2 linked regions of the Caenorhabditis elegans genome follow. The protein of the gene in region 2 purifies or fractionates together with the protein of the main gene of each other region. This does not show direct contact. Each region holds a gene or a part of one and is shown on either strand. Other genes may lie near its edges.

What was found.
Region 1: the proteins of dhs-21 (region 2) and men-1 fractionate together in Caenorhabditis elegans (co-fractionation; one large-scale study listed by BioGRID). This does not show direct contact.

The regions. Positions count from the first base shown.
Region 1 is NC_003280.10:14,227,706-14,235,628, forward strand, and holds the start of men-1 (Malic enzyme), read right to left. Parts: upstream 6,151-7,923; 5' UTR 6,099-6,150; coding exon 6,073-6,098; intron 4,572-6,072; coding exon 3,670-4,571; intron 2,663-3,669; coding exon 2,199-2,662; intron 966-2,198; coding exon 633-965; intron 1-632. Other genes in the region: jmjd-2 (Lysine-specific demethylase 4), read right to left, coding at 7,589-7,750.
Region 2 is NC_003283.11:12,730,968-12,735,289, reverse strand, and holds dhs-21 (L-xylulose reductase), read left to right. Parts: upstream 1-1,644; 5' UTR 1,645-1,728; coding exon 1,729-1,786; intron 1,787-2,619; coding exon 2,620-2,729; intron 2,730-2,780; coding exon 2,781-3,081; intron 3,082-3,126; coding exon 3,127-3,245; intron 3,246-3,290; coding exon 3,291-3,458; 3' UTR 3,459-3,523; downstream 3,524-4,322. Other genes in the region: xbx-9 (XK-related protein), read right to left, coding at 1-75, 337-484, 571-1,037; zfyv-19 (FYVE-type domain-containing protein), read right to left, coding at 3,567-3,856, 3,953-4,041. UniProt on the Caenorhabditis elegans protein: Catalyzes the NADPH-dependent reduction of L-xylulose, D-xylulose, L-(+) erythrulose, D-erythrose, D-threose, L-ribulose, 1,4-dibromo-2,3-butanedione and 2,3-heptanedione.

The sequences.
Region 1 (7,923 bases), on a different chromosome or scaffold from region 2:
ACACACGGTCATATTTTTGCATTCGAAAAAAAATGTGAAAAATTATATTTTCAGCAGTTTTTTTCGGAAAAATCGTCAGAAATAAGTAGAATTTTTCAATTTTAGGCATAAAATTGTCTAAAAATCATTTTTGAAGGTATTTTTCAAAATTTTTTCATGTTTTTCAGCTAAAAATGCTTTTTTCCATGAAAAATTATTCTTTTCCTCGAGGAGTACACGACTCGCGTAAATCGGTACACGGCCATTTTTTGCATTAAAAAGTGAGGAAAATCAATTTTTTCGGGTGGGGAAAAGTCTTTTTTTGTCATTTTTAAAAATGTTTTTCATCCATTTTTCATGTTTTTTCAGCTTGAAATGCTAGGAAAATCGAAATTTTCCCGATTTTTTCCAAATTTCCACTCAAAAAATTGCTTTTCTCTCCGAGGAGTACACGATTCGCGTAAATCGACACATGGCCATTTTTTGCATTAAAAAGTGAGGAAAATCACTTTTTTTCGGGGAAAAGTTTTTTTTTTTGGTATTTTTCAACAGTTTTTCATGTTTTTTTCAGCAAAAAATGTCTAAAAATTGCAGGAAAATCGAAATTTTCCGACGTTTTTTTTTTTCAAATTTCCACTCAAAAACAACCGCACCATATCATCGGGTTTCGGGTGCAAAGTGGCCAAATCGTGTCGATAACAATACTCGCCAACTTCTACGGCAATTTTCACCGAAAGTTCTCGAATATCCTTCAGACGTGGATATACACGTGAATACGTGTTCAACGACTTCTCCGATACGGCTTCGGCGACCATACGGGCGGCCAGAAGGAACAGCTTGTCCGGAATGTTTTTGGTACGGAAGAGGACGGCTCCGAGAGCAACACCCGGGAAGATGTAGGCGTTGTTTCCCTGTCCTGGCTTATAGAGTTTTCCATTCATTTCGACATTTTCGAACGGGGATCCGGAGGCGAAGAGGACGGCTCCCTGCAAAAATTGGGTATTTTTGGAGGGAAAAATAACTGATTTTTCAGATTTTTCATTGAAAAATGATTTTTAAGATTAAAAATTGACATTTTTCCAAATTTTTCCATAGAAAATTAATTTTAATTCCATTTAAAATCATTTTTCCACGAAAGAGCTGAAAAATATAAATTTTTATTAAATTCTAAAATCATTTTTTCAACTAAAAATCTAAAAAGAATAAATTTTAAAATTGACATTTTCCACAATTTTCTTCGAAAAAATTAACTTACAATTGGAAGAAATTGTACCTTTTTAAAGATTTTTCTGTTAAAAAACAAAATTTAATTCAATTTAAAATCATTTTTCCGTAAAAAATCTGAAAAAACGACGCAACTTTAAATTATAAAATTGACTTCAATAAATTAAAAACTAAAACATTATTTTAAAATGATTTTTTTTTAATTAAAATTGGCATTTTCCAGATTTTTTAAAGAAAAATAAATTTAAAATATTCTCTTTGCCGTGGAAAATATTAATTTTCAATTAAAAAAGGTTAATTTTTGATTTATAAAGTCACTTTTTAAAAGGTAAATCTGAAAAAAAACGGTCAATTTTTGAATTTCAAAATAATTTTTCCATGAAAAATCAAGCGAAAATTGGCAAATTCTACATTTCTCAACTAAAAAAGTGCAGATTTTCTCCATATTTTTCCAGTTTTTTTTTCCAATTTTCGTTATTATTTTTATTACTATTTAAAAATTACTTTTTTCCCAGATTTTTCATTTAAAACCGCTCTAAATTCTAAAAATTGATATATATTTTAGATTTTAAAATTTAAATTTTCAGATTTCCAGATTTCTCTTTGAAAAGCGACTTTAAAATTACTATTTTTCAGGTTTTTCATTGAAAAATGGCTCTAAATTGTAAAAATTGAGATTTTTTAAGTTTTTTATTTGAAAAAAAAAACATTTTTTCATGGAAAATCTGAAAAAAAAACGGTTAATTTTTAACACAAAAAGTCCGGAAAATTATACATTTGGATTTAAAAATTTTTGATTTTTTTTCCATGAAAAAGCTGGAAAATAATAATTTTTAACTAACTTTTCATTGGAAAAATCTGAAAAACGGCGAATTTTTGAATTTAAAAATTCACTTTTCCATGAAAAATGCAGTAAATTCAGCTCAAAAAATCTGAAAAATTCAGATTTTCTCCATATTTTTCCAGTTTTTTCTCTAAATTTACATATCCCGTACATTTGTGCAGCGATAAGCCGTCTCCGCAGTGCATTCTGCTTTACTTGTAGGGTTGGACAGTGCAAAAATGATTGGCCTCGGGTTCAGCCGAGCCATTTCCTTAATAATATCCTCCGTAAATGCTCCAGCCACCGTAGATGCTCCGATGAGTGCTCCAGGCTTGACAGTCTTCACAACTTCCAGCAGATTCTTGGTATCCGGAAGATCTTTAGCGAATTTCACATGTCTCTCGCCAAGAGATTTACTACGAGACGTCGTGATGAGTCCTTCAATATCAACCATATAAATCCGACCGCAAGCTTCTTCCTCCGACAATCCCTCGTCCATCATCTGTCGGACACACATTTCGGCGACTCCGGTGGCGGCTCCACCGGCTCCGAGGAAGACGATCCGTTCCTGGGAGAGCTTCTTCTTGGTGATACGAGTTGAGGCGAGCAGGCCGGCGACGACGACAGCGGCGGTACCTGGAAATTTGCAAAAAAATTTTTTTTACAAAATTTATTTCTAACTATTTTTTAATTTTTTTTTTTAATCAAAAATTTCAAATCTGAAATCTGAAAACAAAAGAACTTTTAATTTTTAATTTTTAAAACTATTTTTTAAAGACCTTTTTTTTTTGTTTCCTATTTTATATTGAAAAAATCCAAATTTCCTGGGAAACTATTATTTTTAGAATCAATTTTTCACTTTTATTTCCAAGTTCAAGGTCAAAAAAATCGAAATTTTCAAAAAATTAAAATTTCCCAAAAAAAAAAAGAAGCAAAATTTCTCTTTAAAAAATTGAAATTTCCAGAAAAATCCGAAATTTCCCGAAATTTTCCGACATTTTCAACCCGAAATTCAGAATCAGCATACTTTAATTAACAATTTTCAGCTCATTTAAACGAAATATCGTAGAATCCGGTGCCAAGTACGCAAACACCGAAGCTCTGCGTACTTCTGAGGCTACAGTAACCCGGAAATTTTCAAAATTGAGCTAGAGACTCCAAAATAATTACATGGCTAGGGGTAAAGAAATTTTACGGAAAACTTTTACGGCGGAATTTTGCAGTTAAAATATAAAGTTATAAAGGAATATATCCCCTCAAATTTGCTTCACTATTTTTTTGAAACTCCAAAATTCGAGTTTCCCGTGAAACTTCACCCCGGGCTGTACTTTTTTTTTCGAGTTACTAGCTCAATTTTGAAAATATCCGGGTTACTGTAGCCCCGAAAGTACGCAGCGCTTCGGTGTTTGCGTACCAGACACCAGATTCTACGAGATTTCTTCGTCTAAATGAGCTGAAAATTGGCGCACAGGGCAATAAAAGTATGCTGATTCTGAATTTCATATTTGAAAACAGTGAAAATTCAGATTTTTTTTGAAAAATTTCGGCCAAAATGCAATTTTTTTTCTCAAATGTGCATTTTAAAGCCTTTTTCTCCGATTTTTTCGCTTTTTTTCCTCAATTTCCCCCCTGCCAAATTCTACCTTGAATATCATCATTAAACATGCAATATTCTCCCTTATACCGATCCAACAACCGATACGCATTCTGATTTCCAAAATCTTCAAATTGAATCAGCGTATCCCGTCCGAACCGCTTCGTGGCCGCCTTCATAAAATTATCGACGAGCGTATCGTATTCGGGACCTCTAACACGCTTTCTACGGAGCCCCGTGTAGAATGGATCGTTGAGCAGCTCGCTGTTATCAGTTCCCACGTCGAGAATCACCGGGAGACACCATTCCGGGCGAATCCCTGCGAGCGCAACGTAGAGTGCAAGTTTTCCAACGGGAATTCCGATTCCATAGGTTCCCAGGTCGCCGAGGCCGAGGATCCGCTCTCCGTCAGTGATCACAATTGCTCGGACGTTCTCTGTCGGCCAATTTGCAAGAATCTGATGGATTTTACTAATACTATTATCATTAATAGTAATGTAGAGACCCTTTGGGTTACGGTAGATGAATCCGAAATGCTGACAGGCTTGTCCTACGGTAGGAGTGTACACAATTGGCATGAGCTCCTTCACATTATCGCAGAGCACTCGGTAGTAGAGCTTCTCGTTACGATCCTGCAACGAGTCCAATTGAATGTACTTGGCAAGGTTGTCAGGTTGCTGGCGGAGTTTTGTGATGATACGGTAGGCTTGTTGCTCTTCGGTCATAAATGCGGGTGGCAGAAGCCCGTGAACTCCGAGATATTGACGTTCGTGGAGGGAAAAAGCCATTCCCTTATTGAGCCCGGGCGACTTGAGCAGGTCGATTCCTCGCTTCTGGGGTGTGGTGCGTTCCGGGCGGTAGAGCTTGTGAAGGGCCAGAGTTTTGGGATCGGAGAGATCCGGCTCGTTTTTGTCGCTCAGGCATCGTGTTGATGTGGAGAGACGGCGGATGCTGGAAATTTGGGGATTTTTGGTTTTTCATTGAAAAAAATGGCAAAAATTCAGATTTTCCCGGAGAAACCCATTTAAAATGACCGAAATTCAAATTTTTCGGAAAAAAAAATCCATAAATAATGGCTAAAAATTCAGATTTTCATGGAAAAAATTTATTTAAAATCGTTAAAATTCAGATTTTCCAGAAAAAAAACTATTTAAAATGGCTAAAAAGTAGATTTTCACGGAAAAATGTATTCGAAATGGCTGAAACTCAGATTTTTCTGGGAAAATGCCATTAAAACGGCTAAATTTCAAATTTTCCGGAAAAAAATCCATAAAAAATGACTAAATATTCAGATTTTCCCGGAAAAATCCATTTAAAAGGCTGAAAATCGGATTTTTTGGAAAAAATTTTTTTTAATGACTAAAACAGTAGATTTTCACGGAAAAAATGTATTTGAAATGGCTGAAACTCAAATTTTTTAAATATAAAAAATGGCTAAAAATCAAGCTTTCCCAGAAAAATCAATTAAAAACGGCTGAAATTCAGATTTTCTCCGAAAAAAATTCATGAAAAATGGCTAAAAATCGGATTTTCTCGGAAAAAATCCCTTAAAAACGGCTGTAATTCAGTTTTTTCCAAAAAAAAATCCATTGAAAATAGCGAAAATTCAGATTTCTCCTGGAAAAACTCATTCAAACGGCTCAAATTGAGACTTTTTCCCGGAAAAATACATTAAAAATAGCGAAAAATCTGTTTTTCCAGAAAAAAAACTATTTATAATGACTAAAACTCAGATTTTTCCGAAAAAAAATTGATTACAAATGGCTTAAAATCAGATTTTCCAGGAAAAAATGCATAAAAAATGGCGGAAAATTCATTTTAAAAATGTTGAAATTTTAGATTTTCCCGGAAAAAATCCATTAAAAATTGGCTGAAATTCAGATTTTTTCGGAAAAATCCACCAACTGCGGCTAAAAATCAGATTTTTCTGGAATAAAACCATAAAAAATGTCAAAAATTCATTCAAAATGCCAGAAATACAGACTTTTTCGGAAAAAAATCTAGTAAAATGGCTGAAATGCAGATTTTCCCGGAGAAAACCATTTAAAATGGCTGAAGTTCAGATTTTTTTAGAAAAAATAAATTTAAAATGATTAAAACTCAGATTTTCCAAGAAAAATTGGGCAAAATCGCAGAAAAATCGCAGAAATTGAAATTTTCATAGGTTTTTATCGAAAAAATCTACAAATTTTTTAAATACTCGTCAAAATTCGTAGACTTTTTCAACGAAAACCTGTAAAAATTTCAATTTCTGCAATTTCTCGCAGAAAAATCGATATTTTACGCATTTTTGCCGAGACCATCTGAATTTCACCCATTTTTCATAAATTTTTTCCGAGAAAAGCAGAATTTCAGCCGTTTTAAATGGATTTTTCCGGGAAAATCTGAATTTTTAGTCATTTTTAATACATTTCTCGAATTTCAGCTAATTTCAACGCAAAATCCTCCCTACCTGGCAGGCGAAAGACGGCTCAGCATTTTTCGTGATTCCCGCACGGTTGTGAAACCCAAGAGCAAATGAGAATTGATTCTGAAATGAGACGGAAAAATGTAAAATTTCGATAAAAACTTTTTTTTTTGAAACACGTGAAATAAAAACGGTGACAATTGATAAGAAAAATGAGTGCATTTTATCAATTTTTATTCAGAAAAAATTATGGAAAACCTGAAAATTCGGGAAAACTCGCGGTGAAACTGGAGAGACAATTGCCTGAGAAGCCACAAATGGGGGCGCCCGTCGTCTATCGATCCACGTATTCTTTCGGGATAAACTATGTGCGAGAGATCTGCACTCAGCGGAGAGACGCAGGGAGAAAAAGAAAACAAAAACACGGGCGGAACTCTTTTCTTGAAAAAATGAATTTTTATTTCAAAAAGTAAGATGGAAAATCGTTTTTCCTTCGAGTGGCGGCGAAATGAGTGCTTGGGGGAGCAAGTATGCGGTGAGAGGAGGGAAGAGGGAGAAAAAGCGAGAAAAATGATGTTTTCCCGTGTTTTTTTCTTGTTTATAGCGATATTTTTCGATCAAGGTGGCCTTGTCATCGAATTAGCCGTGATCTTTGGGGTTTTAATTGGAAGAAACAGATATTTTAATGCGATTTTTTGAATTTTCCACAAAAAATAAAGAAATTAGTTTATTTTTCCTCTCGAAAACCGACAAAAACTCAAGAAAATAACGAAAATCAATGAAAAAAATAAAGAAAAATTGTCGTCAAATGTGGCGCATTGGCCGCAAAGTACGCAGTTGCCGTGTCAATTCACCGGCGCCAATTCGAATTTTGAAAGGTTTTTTCATTAAAAAATAGCTTTTTAAAGAGAATTTCTGGATTTTGAACTGTTTTTTCATTAAAAATAGCTTTTTAAAGAGAATTTCTGGATTTTGAAAGGTTTTTTCATTAAAAAACAGCTTTGAAAAGAGAATTTCTGGATTTTGAAAGGTTTTTTCATTAAAAAACAGTTTTTTAAAGAGAATTTCTGGATTTTGAACGAGTTTTCCGGTTATTTTCAATATTTTCCCACTCCCAACGCAGCTGTCAGCTCAACACGTGTTCACAGGAAGTCAACAAATCGGATAAAGTGATCTTTGGCCAATTTTTCTGATTTTTCGACGGAATTATTTGATAAGAATGCGATTAGTGTGTTGGCATTTGGAAAAAAAAAGGTTTATTAGATAAATTGATCAATTTCGGGGAAAACATTTAAAAGTTTCTGCAAAATAATAGGGAAAAATAGCGAAAAATATTTAAATGACAAAAAAATACAGAAAAAAAACAGAAAAACAGGGATAATTAGAGATTCTTCGACTTTTCGTACAAAAAAAAACTGGGGGGAAAAGAGGCGCAGAGATCACATATTTGAGGGTAGACGGGCGGGAAAGAGAGAATATATTACATTTTGACAAGAATTTTTTGTCAGGGACTATTTAATAGTAAATTTTAAAAAATCGAATATTTATTTATTTATTAAAGCTATTTTTTGAGATACGCGTTCAGTTCTCGCTTCGTTTTCAGCCTGTTCCGTGGATGGCGGACTTCTCGGCCATCTTCCAGTCGGACCGTGTACTCGATCATCTGTCCTTTTCCACGGAAGTACGCGTCGTAGACTTGCTTGTCGTCCCACACTACTTTTACCTGCAAAACAAATTGGGGAATTTATTGATTTTTTTGGGGGTTTTTAGGACTTTTTTATAGTATTTCCGGGCTTTTTCTTTATTTATAATTTATTTAAAAAAACAGGAAAACCCATTAAAAATGACTAGAAGACTTGAGTTTTCCCTAGAAAAATCGTGATTTTAAAGGGGAAA
Region 2 (4,322 bases):
TGGATCACCAGTCAGAACTGCCATGTTTGTTCCGGCTGCTGGTTTTGGTTTGCACATTAATCCAACACACAAGCACTGGAAAACATTTTTGATTTTCTATATTTAAATTTCATTTGAAGGTGGAATTGTTGAATTACTGTCAATAGATATGTGTAGGGGTGTAGAAGTAAAGTGCAAAACAATTACACTGAAAACGATCTTTAAATAGGATCACACCACTTGTTGGCTTCGGTTAAATTTTCTACTATTCTTTGGATTTTTTCACACTTTGTTTAATACCTCACTAATGTATAACTGGGCACTGATGTCCACCTTTAGAGATCAAAAATAGATTACCACTAGAAGCTCGGCAATGATTCCCACTGTGCACAAAAGGTAGGTAAAAAACAGTGCAGAAGCAGGAAGTGGGTTCCATTGGGATGCGATGAAATGATATGAACCAGAGAGTATAGCAGCAAAGAAGAGCACAGCAAAGTAAGATGTCCTGGAAAATATCGGAGGCATCAACTATTCATTTAACAAAAAATGTTATTCAAGATTTTTGCTGTGTCATTCTAACCATTTTCTTACCATGAATCACAAGGATTAAAGTTTTGTCTTTTCCTTGCAATTACAATCAACGCCGAGAGAAAAATCACAGATCCAATGGATGTAGTGAGGACTGCTGTAGTGTAAAACCAGTTGAAGAACATCAGAAAAACCATGTACCACCATCCATAAGCTCCAAGCATGATACTGTAGATAGCCAGTGCAATCTTGAACAGAGATGACAGTCCAAGTGGAATGTAGACAATAGTCAGAAAGACCTTCGTGATATCACGCTTCATTTTCAAAGAAAGCAGAAAGAAAACTGCGATGATTGAAACTTCAATTGCGGAGAGTCCAGCTCCAATTGGTCCTCCGTAAAATGCTTTCTTTGTGTAGAGTTCATCAGGAAAATCACAGCTTATCTTCACTTTTTTCTTCACAGTTGTTGAATTACAAAAAAGAGTGGTAAGTAAAGGAAGACCCGGGACTGGGTCCATGTCCGTCGACATGGTTACACGATCTTTATATCACTTCAATAGTTGGGATTTTATTGAAGCTGAGATTGAGAATAAGAAATGTGGCGAGTTGAGTGGCTAGATTGAACAGGTGAAATGCCATGTTGCTATGGTTACTCGTCACGAAGTTTCAGCTGTTCTTGGACGCAGATCTTGTGATATTGAAATTGGTTGTTGATGTAAAAAAAATTAAGACGGAGACACTAACGAAGCTAGCCAAAACAAACTTTTTACGGAAGGTTGAGCTTAATGTTAAGTGGGACATATACGTTTGATGGTACCTGAAACTACCAGGAAAGTATGATATTTTGCAAGTCTTTGAACTTTTGGGATCATTTTTGCTCTTGAACTCATCCTCTAATATATATCATAAGCAGCAAAAACAAAGTACTCGATTTTGCTGCTTATGATATACTATTTTTTGAAACGAGCGTTTTAAAGAAAATTGTGTACATTGTTTCGGTGCTCAATAGTTTCATTGTTACATACTTTGCAAAATGAAAGGGTTTTCCCTGTCGATCTCGAAATAGAAACCATTATGACGATCATCAATACACAATTGGACGCAGATTGTTAGAGGAATGGCATTGATAACAAAAATAGTCACAATATAAAAGTTGATCGTGTTGGGTAGAATGGGGTAGATACTACACATTTTCTGATATTCATATCATCTGACGAAACAATGCCCGCCAATTACGATTTCACTGACAAACGTATACTTGTCACAGGAGCAAGTCAAGGTAAGTCTTGAGATGTTGAAAAAGTTAAGATGGGTTGTTTCAATACAAACCAAATACACTTGTTTTGGGTTCCATTTAACAAATATGAAATTGAGATAGCTCACTACAGGAAATAGACTTGATATTTAGACAGAAAGTTATGTTGAGATAAGTTTTTGTACCACTCGGAGTTGGTGCCAACTTATTGCCCAACTTTTGACCTATAGTTGAAAACTTCACGGAAAACGTCAAATCTCTTTTCCGACGATTGTTCTATGTTTTGAGTTTAGATATGTTTGCAAGGTTTGAATTGAAGTTGACCAGGTTTTCCCTGGTCTAGTATAAGTTTATTTGTAGTTTGAAGTAAGGAAATGTTAAAAATTATCTGCTCAATTAAAAAAAACCATTAAACATTTGGAGCCACTGAATCAGTTTTCTGAAATCTCATGAAGATTTGTACTTTTTAAGTTTTCAAAATGTTTAATCCATATTAATTTAACATTTCAAATTTAGGCCAATGTGATAAAAGACCGATGGTCTCTCTGATTACTTCCGGTGTAATTATGATCTAGTTCAAATGGAGAGGAAAACGTTGATATACGATAATATGATAACACTATAATCTTTAATCAAAAATTTGTTGTATCATCAACATTTTATCATTCCGTTTGAAAATTATAATTATTTTACGATTATGTTTGAGGAAATTTCTGGCATTGAAAACAAGAGTACATCCTTCCTAGTCGGTAAAAAATATATTACGCGAACAAAGCTAAAAATAGAATAAAAATCGTTCATGAAGACTTCCGATGGGGTGATTGTGAATCATACATCACAATTTATCACATTTGCAGGAATTGGAAAAGAAATCTGCCTTTCGTTGGCCAAAGCTGGAGCGCAGGTTATTGCATTCGCGAGAAATGAAGCAAATTTGTTGAGTCTTGTCAAAGAGACTACTTCTTTGGTAAGTGAAAATATAAAATATTACACCAATCTGATTAAATTAATATTTCAGAGATATACAATAATTCCAATTGTTGGAGATGTGAGTGCCAATGAAGAGGTCCTTTTCAAACTTATCGTACCACATTTCCCAATTCATGGTCTTGTAAATAATGCTGGAATTGCAACAAATCATGCAATTGGACAAATTACTCAACAATCAATTGATAGAACATTTGCAGTCAACGTAAGGGGACCTATTCTCATTGCACAATTAGTTGCTAGAAACTTTGTGGATAGACAAATCAAAGGATCAATTGTTAATATTTCATCACAAGCAGCCATTCGTCCATTGGATAATCACACTGTTTATTGTTAGTTTAAAACTTTACTGAAATAATGTACATCTGAAAGTTCAGGTGCATCAAAAGCTGCTCTTGATATGGTCACAAGATGTCTTGCAAATGAATTGGGATCCCAGAATATTCGAGTTAATAGTGTCAATCCAACTGTTGTGATGACTGATATGGGAAGAGATGTAATAATTTTCAAATTGAAAAGAGAGCATAATTAGACTTTTTAGAACTGGAGTGATCCTGATAAGAAGAAGAAGATGCTCGACAGAATGCCGATCAAACGTTTTGCTGAGGTTGACGAAGTTGTGAATGCTGTCCTTTTCCTTCTTTCAGACAATGCTTCAATGACTACTGGATCCACTTTGCCTGTCGATGGAGGATTTTCGAATAACTAAAGTTTTTAATTTTAAGATTGAGACGATGTATATAGGTGAACAATAAATACATTTATTTACAAGAAGCTCGTAATTTAACATACATAGAAAAAAGATAAATAATATTTACTATTGTTTTGAATCTTTTCTGAACAACTTTTCAAATAATCCCTTTTTCTTCGGTGAGCTCGAGTTGCTCGGTGTTGACGCCTTGTTTGATTCCGAAGTTTGAGGAGGCAGATCTTCTGAATTTTCGGCTTCGTGAAGAATCTTTTTGAAAGTCTCTTCGTCTAAGGACTTCTCGTCTTCATCTTCATCTTCATCTACAGATAATTTTTCGTTTCTTCGATCCCAAAATCCACCAATTTCTTTCGTGATCTTATCATTCCATTGAATAGCGTCAAGAGACTTCTGACGAGCTGAAATTGTAGCAAAATTAAGAAATTAAGCTGGCAGTAAAAAGGTTTGTAAAAGACTGTGTTGAAGAAATATTCAAATTTTCGTTTTAAACTTACTAGATTTCATGAGAGTTCTGAGTTCAGCGGCATCATGTTCTTCTTGCTTCTTGGTTTCAGCTACACGTTGTTCTGCGTCTTGAAGAATACTGGAATACTATTGAATATGCGTAAAACTTTAAAAGTCTACAGCAGGGTTAGTACTTTTTTGGGGTTTGTTTATTTTTGTAATATTTCGACGAAAATTTGTTTTTTTTTTTGGTTTTTGTGACAAAACACCAAAAAACTAATTTTCTATATTTTAAACACTTTTCATATTTTACAAATGTTCTTTAGCAAACTGTGGTTTTCAGTTTTTGTAAAAAGTTCCAATTTTCGAATCCAAAAAAAATTTTGTTTGATTTTTTTTGGTTCGAATTTTTCGGTCCCA